2 linked regions of the Canis lupus familiaris genome follow. The protein of the gene in region 1 purifies or fractionates together with the protein of each later gene. This does not show direct contact. Links are inferred from orthologs where the notes say so. Each region holds a gene or a part of one and is shown in the gene's direction. Other genes may lie near its edges. The genes, in order: PPP6R2 and AURKA.

Region 1 (3,803 bases):
CAGTGGGGCTTCCTGTCTTGGCCCCCTGCCCACTCCCTGCAGGAATCACTGTTGAGAGTTTGGAGTATATCCTGATAGGCCTTTCTGTGCCTGATAAAAGCCAACATACGTTCCTGCCCTCAGCAGTTTGAGAACAGTGATGCCAACTCATGTGTGAGCCCTCTCTGTGTCCCGGCCACACTGTTTTCTGTTCCTGTGTGCCTGTTGGACAGCTGGGCGAGGGGGCCTATGCTCCAGACCAGGGGGTGCCCCTCCAGCTGTGTGAGTGCTGGGGGCTGACTGGCCTGCTCCCAGGCTAGAGGCAGGGGTGAGACCACAGGGACCACCTGGCTGCTTTTCATTTCTCCCTAAAATAGTCCTGCATGTACTTCCTTTAGCCTAGAGCCCCCACGACGCACATCAGTGCCGTGTGTTCTGAGGCTCCCGGCGAGGAGCCAGGGCCGAGTTTCTCTCTAGTCAGTTATCTGCATTGCTAAACTCACCAGTGTTGCAAGGGCACCATCCAGTCTTCACCGGCTAAGGATTAGTGTTGCCCAGAAGAGTCGAGGCCTCCTGTTTTCTCTGTGGCACCTGCCTTTTTCCATTAGCTTGTAGGACTTCTCCTGAATGTTACCAGCTAGGTTTTAATATTTAAAGTATGAATTTGAAATACAGTATCAGTAACGAGGTCATATATACAGTGTATCTTACAGTGGTTCCAGGGGTGGAGCAATGTCTGTGTAGTGTATTTAACCCTTAAGAGAGCCCCATTTGGTCTCTTGGGGATCGGTCAGTACAGCAAAAGGTCTGATTAGATTTGCATTCTGACATCAGAAAGGCCCACCAGGCATTTCTGAGACGGACCGGTTCAGAGTCCAGCGTCCTGAGAACTGAGCAGCGAGCGGGGCAGCTCTGCTGACCTTTCTCAGCGCTGAGGAGAGTACTGCATCTCCTTTTCCTTCCAGAGACAGTCCAATGCCTCTCAAACCCTCTGTGACATCATCAGGCTGGGCAGAGAGCAGGGCAGTCAGCTGCAGGAGGCTCCAGAGCCCGACCCCCTCCTCGCAGTGCTGGAGTCGTGAGTGCTGGCTGCATTATGGGTGCCTGGCTGGGTGGGTGCGGGGTCTTTCTGAGTCACTAGGCAGTCCCCAGGCCCTGCCTGGAGCACCAGCAGATGCTGCTGCTGCCTCTGATTCAGATTCTGATGAGCTGGCTGTGACATAGCCCGTCTGGCTCACTGGATAGACTTGTGTCTCCTGGGAGGGCTCTCCAGGCAGGTCCAGTGACTCTAGGCCAGTAGGGGCAGGAATGTCCTGAGAACCCTGGGTGCCTGGTCTGGAGCCCGAGCAAAGCCCCCTCTGGGTTTAGGGGGGTTACTCCTTGGGGAGGAGAGCTGGTCCTTTGGATGTGGGGCTGTGCATCTGCTCCAGCAGCAGTGAGCTCTGCGTGTGTCTGACAGGCAGGACTGCGTGGAGCAGCTTCTGAAGAACATGTTTGATGGAGACCAGACTGAGATCTGCCTCGTTAGTGGGACTCAGGTGTTACTTACCTTGTTGGAGACCAGACGGGCTGGGTGAGTGATGGGGGGCCTGGCTGCGTGGCATGTTTCACTACTTGTTATGTAAATAATCACACGGGTAGACTCCTCATTGAAAAGTAAATCCGCAGCCTCTCTGACCTTGGGTATCCAAGGTGTTCCCGCCTCGGTCTGAAGGCACCAGTGTCAGCAGCTTCCCAAGTATTCCTGCGTGTGTGTGTATGTGTGTGTGTGTGTGTGTGTGTGTGTGTGTGTGTGTGTGTGTGTGTGGAACAGGTGTGGCCAGTTCCAGCATGTGGGGAGGGGTGTGGGGTGCCGGGTGTGCACGTGTGTGCGCGTGCATCTCTGCTCGTCCCGTCGTGTGCTGTGGTGACCTGTCTCCTGGGGTGACTAGTTCTCTTATTTCCTTGTTCTGGAGGGAGCCTCACTGAAGCCCCAGCGCGGATTAACTGGATGTAAACCGCAGCAACAACAAAAGAACAAAATGACAAGACGTTGAGTTAATGTTGGTAGTGAGATTAGAAGCAGTTTCTCATTCTCGCGCTCTCTGGGAACCAGTACGCAGCCGTTAGTTTATTCCCTAAAACTAGAATGATACTGCTGTCATTGTTTACTCTGGTCAGGCCACCAGAATGTTGACCGTTCTTGTCTTCGTGAACTCAGGAAGCCTGGGCCTGTTCTAGGGGATGTGGGGGCTCCTCTGCGGGCCTTTCCCAGCCTTGGCTGAGATGAACGGACAGCGTGAAAATGACCCATAAAAGCAGAGATTGGGATGCCTGGGGCGCTCTGTCAGCTAAGCACCTCTTGGTTTCGGCTCAGGTCATGACCTGGGGTCCTGGGGTTGAGTCCATTTTGGGGGTGCGGACACCCAGTGGGGAGTCTGTTCGGATTCCCCATCCTGCCCTGGTGTGCCTCCCCCCACTTATGGTTCTCTCGAAAATAAATATATTTTTTTAAAAACCCACCAAAACCACGGGTGAGCCAGCTGATTCTCTTTTCTATAACTGAAAAAAGTTTATATGAATGTCTCAGAGAAATTAGTTTTAAGAAGCCAGAGGGACAGTGTGGCGTCCTGTCTCCTGTTTCTCAGCCAAGGAGTGGGAACCATGGTGAATGTTTCCAGAACGGGGAGAGGGGGACAGAGATGGTTCCAGTGAGCACGAGGGGCCGCCTGCCTGGTGGGGATGAGGGGGCTGCCCTTGGCCGTCACCTGGGAATGTTTTCTAAAGGCCAGTGTTGCCTTTTTCTTCTCTGTACCATGAGCAGAGAAGTCGGGGGGGAGGGTGAAACAGGATGGGGGTGTGTCCCCTGTGTCTCCATCTGCTGTCCTCGTCCACAGGACAGAGGGCTTGGTGGACTCCTTTTCTCAGGGACTGGAAGGGCTGTGTACCGTCAGCAGCAGCGTACTGCATGGCATTGAGCCACGACTGAAGGACTTCCACCAGCTTCTGCTCAGCCCGCCAAAGGTAGGTGAACTTCTGGTAGGTGCCTGTGCGGGTGTTGTGGGTGGGATGATTTGCAAGCAGAGGACCCTGCACCCTGCTTGAGAACCACCAAGCAGGTGCCAGGAGCATGTTTTCACACCTTTATCTGCTCAGTGTCCATCTCTGCTCTGGGGTAAGTCCTAGGGTGTGGACATTTTGCACCCCCCTCCCAGATGACTCTTGTGCTCTGAAATAGGGGTCATCTGAGAACCTACGTTAACTGTGGGTCTGGCCTTCAAGTCAGGGGCCATGGGGCCTGGAGTCAGGTAGGGCACAGAGTTGGCCTTTGCCCAGCTCAGGAGCTCCAGGCAGCATGCGGCTCAGGTAGAGAAGGGCTCAGTCACTTAGCCGCCTGCCACCTCGCTCACCATGGAGCCCCTTCCCCTTTCCTGGGTGCGTCTCAGCACCCACCATGCTCTCCTGCACAGCTTATTTTATTTATCAAGTTATCATCTGCCTCTCCCACTAGAAAGTGAGCTTCATGAATGTAGGGATTCTGGAACATTTGGTTAATGAGAAGGTAGACACGTCATGCTGCATGCGTGGGGTCAGGAAAGACCTGTGTTCAGTGTGACAAGGCTGCTGTTAGCCATCTCCTCTGAGCGCGTTTGCAGGGTTAGCTCAGTGTCCTGATGAGACTGTGTCCCCCAGAGAGCTGGCCCCACCTTGGACACATCTCATGAGCTGAGGTGCATATCTCTTTGCTTGATTTGCTGATACCAGAGAGTTCTGGGCTTCTGGGGGCAGTGGACCACCATTGCTTACTGTTTTGTGAGGCGCTAAGGGGAGTGGGGGGGGTTCCT
Region 2 (4,597 bases), on another chromosome or scaffold:
CTTGTGAGGGTCATGGGGTCATGGGACTCCTGAATCTCGCTGTGGACTGGAATCACTAGAAAGGCAGTTTTCCTGGGGCTCTCTCCAGAATCTCTGGATCAGAATCATCTTATTTCATTCTGTTTATTATTATTCATCTCTCTGAGAAGGAAAAGTATATTCAATTGGAACAAGTATCTAGCTTCTGTTGAAGACGATTGAATAAATGTTAGGCCTGTGTGATCTCATTGGTCTGCTGCCTGTGGTTGTTGGGGAAAGTGAAGAAAGCCTTAGAGCGTGTGTGAAATTAATGTTTGCATAACACAAGCTTATAACTCCTTTCTCCTTCCTGTTTCTCCTAACCTGCTGTTGGACATAAGGACTCCTCTCTCTTTAGCTGTGGTTCCATCTTCAAGGTGAAGTTTTTTGCTTATTTGTGAAGTGGATGTGAAAGCGTGGGGATGGGAGGCACTTTCTGATTGGATTCTAGAATTCGGAGAGCACCTGGGTAGGAAAAATACAGAAAGGTTTCTGCTTTCTTGGAGTTTATGTTCTTCTGATTTACTAGACTGTGCCTGACTCACAGTATGGGCTTAGCAAGTGTTAACTATTTTCATTATTAATATGCTTTCTTAACGGATTAACTCATTCCCCCAAACATTGGTGTAAATACTATGTGCCAGACAAGTTCTGGCAGGGGGCAACAGTAAACAAAATGAGTCTAAGCCCTTGCTCTCATGGAGCTTACTTTCCTTGGAGATACTGATTAGGGAGCTGGGAGGCAGAAGTAAGCGAGTACAAGTAACGTCATGTAAGGTGTTAAGTAAGGGCTATGCAGAAAAATAAAAACGAGATGGTTAGAGAGCCATCTGAGGAGAGACCTGAATGTCATGGGGAGCAAGCCACACTTGTATTTGAGAGAAGTGCCAAATGGGTAGAGAGAACAGGAAGTACAAAGGCCCTGAGGCAGTGCACTGCTTTGAGGAAAGAAAGAAGCCCTGTATGGCTGGTGTGCAGAACGCAAGAGGAGATCAGTCCAATAGGTGGTCAGAGACTGTAGGTCTGTCTGTGCAAGTTGAATTTGAATTGGAGTTGAGGGACCAGGAGGGGCTTGGCTTGTGAACTAAGGGCCGGCCTAGCTGACTTGTTAATGGGATCACTGGGTGCAGTGTTGCAAATGGACCATCATGGGGTAAGGGTGGAAGCAGAGTGACCATCGGGAGCCTGTGGCAAAGAAATGAGGGGAGAGAGCATTGATTTAATCAGGTGGTGGTATTAAATGTCTTGAGCAGTGATTTTGAAGGTAGAGCCTACAAAATATGCTGATGGATTAGGTATGGGGTTTGAGGGAGAATCATGTAAAAGATCAGTTAACCCAAGCAACTGGCAAGATGGGTTTGCCAGTAACTGAGATGGGGACATCTGTGAAAACGGGGTTGGGGAGATAGAGTAGGGAGGGAGCAGGAATTTCATTTGAGACATTTTAAACTTGAGATGCCTCTCTGGTTACAGGTGGTGATGTTTCATAGGTGATAGGAGTTCAGGGGAGAAGTCTGGGCTGAAGATGGAAGTTTGGAGGTCCTCAGCTTGTGAGTGCTATTGAGAGCCAGGAGACTGGATGAGTTTAATAGGGAATGAGTATAGCAGTAGAAGTGTTTCTAGGCCTGAGCTCAGGCTGCTCCTGAGAGCAGAGGGGAAGAGAAGCCGGGAGGAGAAAAGAGCTGTCTGGATGTGGGGGATAATGAACAGGAGGTAGGTAATAGTCTGGTAGTCAGGACAGGTTAGGGTAGAAGATGTAAATTCAAGTCATCTTAAAGATGTTTAGAGCCCTGGTTCTGGATGGGGGACCCTAGGAAGGGAATGGATGGAAAGTGGGGTCCAAGGACTCATTCATGGGTTACCCTAGACTCTCAGGTTGGCAAAAGTCAGACTGATGGAGCAAAGGAGGTCACAGCAGGACAGCTGGTAAGGTCAGGGACCACCCTCCAAGCCAGCAGAGGCTGGGAGTAGAAAAAAGAGTGACGCTGTCAAATGCTGCTGGGGACACCAGGGAGCCCAGGGTGCTGATTGGACCTTTGAATTTGCTAACATTAGAGGTCAGTCGTGAGCTGACTCCTCCGTAGGGACAAAATCCTGATGGGGGAGGGCGAAGAGCCAGAGAAATGGTGGATGCAGGGAGTGTAATGACTGTTCTGGAGCTTTGCTGTTGAAGAGTGAGAGGAAAGATGCTGTTCTATCTAGAGTATGTTATGGGGAAGAGAGAAGCTGCTTTTTTTTTTAAAAGGGAGCAGGGCTGGAAGCAGGCTCCTGCACTGTTGGAATTAATCCCCTAGAGAGGGGGTGGTGGAGCAGGTGGTCTCAGGGAGTGAAGTTGGGGGGTGAGGGAGGCCCCACACCTGTCCCTTAGGTTACCCGAGAAAGCAAGGCTCCCTTGCCAGCTTCATTTGGACAAAGAAAAAGTGTGAAATTCTGTGTTGTTGAGGCTTTTTCATCAGGAGCTATAACCCTGATCTAGCATAGTAGCACTTTGAAGCACAGGGATTTGTATAAATTAAAGGTGGCTCTTTTCTTTTCAGGCATTATGGACAAATCTAAAGAAAACTGCATTGCAGGGCCTGTTAAGGTAAGTTGAATAATCTTAAATTTTTTTTTTTTTTTTTTTAAGATTTTATTCATGAGAAACACAGGCAGAGAGGCAGAGACAAAGGTGGAGGGAGAAGCAGGCTCCATGCAGGGAGCCTGGTGTGGGACTTGATCCTGGAACTCCAGGATCATGCCCTGAGCCAAGGGCAGATGCACAACTGCTGAGTCATCTAGGCGTCCCAATCTGTAATCTTGATCACATTTATAAAACCCAGTGGAGATTGGTTTTTATATCTGGACTTCGTTTTACCTTTACTTTGGATTTTAACTTCAGAACTCTACTACATTCCTGGATGTCTGTCACTTTTTCTCTGCATTCAGTGACATTTTGTTGATTGTCACTGTAACTATTATTTTGTTCTGCTTTGTCTTCTAGCTAGCTGTTTAAGTATCTATATTCCTCCATTGTGTGCGGGATAATGTACACAATGGGTGCCTAATACTTGCTTGTGCTTACTTGCTTGCCAGAAGTTAAATTGCTTTGTAATAGTCTGTTCTGGTCATGATTCAGAGGACTGTCAAGCTGCATTTTAGTGAACATTTCTTGGGAACCCACTTTGAGCCAGGTTGTGTCAGATGCAGGGGTTATAATGATAAAAAAGCACATGGTCTTTGACTTCCAAGAGCTTATTAGCTCTTTGGTGGGTTATGTGAGCTGGTATCACACTTTCATAAAATATGTGTATATGAAATGACCTGAGTAATTCTGCAGAGGGATGTTCAGATTGGGATAGGTTGGAATCTAGAAAGGCTTCATCAAGGAAGTACCTCTGGCTCTTAGAATTTAAATGAGTCTTTATATAAAGATCCTTTAATATAAATATTCCCCAGATTTTTTTTTCCTTCTAGGAAAAGAGCATAAACATACAAATCTTGTTTCTTGTTTTGTATGTATGTGTTGTTTTTAGAAGTTTTCCTTTACTTTTTTTTTTTTTTTTTAAGGTTTTATTTATTTATTCATGAGAGACACAGAGAAAAGCAGAGACACAGGCAGAGGGAGAAGCAGGCTCAGGCTCCTTGCAGGGAACCTGATGTGGGACTTGATCCCAGGACCCCAGGACCCCAGGATCATGACCTGAGCCAAAGGCAGATGCTCAGCCACTAAGCCACCCAGGCGTCCCTAAAAGTTTTCCTTTTCTTTTTTTTTTTTTTTGTTTGTTTGTTTGTTTGAGAGAGCATGCATGAGTGGGGTGTGTGTGTGGAGGGGCGGCGGCTGTGGCAGAGGGAGAGGGAGAGAATGTTAAGGAGGTTCTAAACTCGGTGCTGAGCCTGACCTTGGGCTCTATCTCACGACCTCCTGAGATCACGACCCCAGCCAAAACCATGAGTCAGATGTCCAACCTATGGAGCCACCCAGGCTCCCCTATTTTTGACTTTTTCAGGAGCCTCCATACTGCTTCACCTGCACTGGTTTGTATTCCCACCAGTAGTGTGCAAGGGTTCCTTTTCCCCCAAGTCTTCATCAACAACTTGTTCCTTGTGTTTTTGGTGTTAGCCATTCTGATAGGTGTGAGAAGTTTTTCAAGTAAATGGATACCTTAACTTTTTTTTTTTTTTTTTACTGGCTAAAAGTCAATAACCAATTAGAAAAAGGCTAACTTGAGTCATTGTATCTGATTCTCAATTCCTATGATAAAGATCATTTTTAAAAGCTGCTCTGTTTAAAACATTTGTCGCTGCCTGTGGATGTCACTAATTTCAGAAGTAACTGACTTTTACTTGGAAGTTGGATACCTGTCTCTTGTGAAGCACCCATACCTAGTGAGCTTGTGATGAACTCTGAGGCTTCCCTTCCTAGCATTGTTTCCGTGTTTATGAGGAGATTTCCTCCATTGTAGTTGGAGGAAGTCCTCTACCCCATTTTAGTTTGACTGGTTCAAGGTCTTAGAATTAACTTTTTTCTTAAGCTTGTGATCCTCCACTTATTGGCATGTAAATAATGTATTTTGACCTAACTTTTCGAAGATCCTATTTG

What was found.
Region 2: the proteins of PPP6R2 (region 1) and AURKA purify together in Homo sapiens (affinity purification with mass spectrometry; 4 studies listed by BioGRID and IntAct, counting the BioPlex papers as one, with this or other methods). This does not show direct contact. The link is inferred for Canis lupus familiaris from reciprocal best matches to the Homo sapiens genes PPP6R2 and AURKA.

The regions. Positions count from the first base shown.
Region 1 is NC_049231.1:17,765,520-17,769,322, reverse strand, and holds part of PPP6R2 (serine/threonine-protein phosphatase 6 regulatory subunit 2), read left to right. Parts: intron 1-482; exon of another isoform or gene 483-944; coding exon 945-1,057; exon of another isoform or gene 1,058-1,061; intron 1,062-1,438; coding exon 1,439-1,552; intron 1,553-2,855; coding exon 2,856-2,982; intron 2,983-3,803. UniProt on the Homo sapiens protein: Regulatory subunit of protein phosphatase 6 (PP6). May function as a scaffolding PP6 subunit. Involved in the PP6-mediated dephosphorylation of NFKBIE opposing its degradation in response to TNF-alpha.
Region 2 is NC_049245.1:42,346,304-42,350,900, reverse strand, and holds the start of AURKA (aurora kinase A), read left to right. Parts: upstream 1-1,496; 5' UTR 1,497-1,543; coding exon 1,544-1,568; intron 1,569-2,555; coding exon 2,556-2,602; intron 2,603-4,597. UniProt on the Homo sapiens protein: Mitotic serine/threonine kinase that contributes to the regulation of cell cycle progression.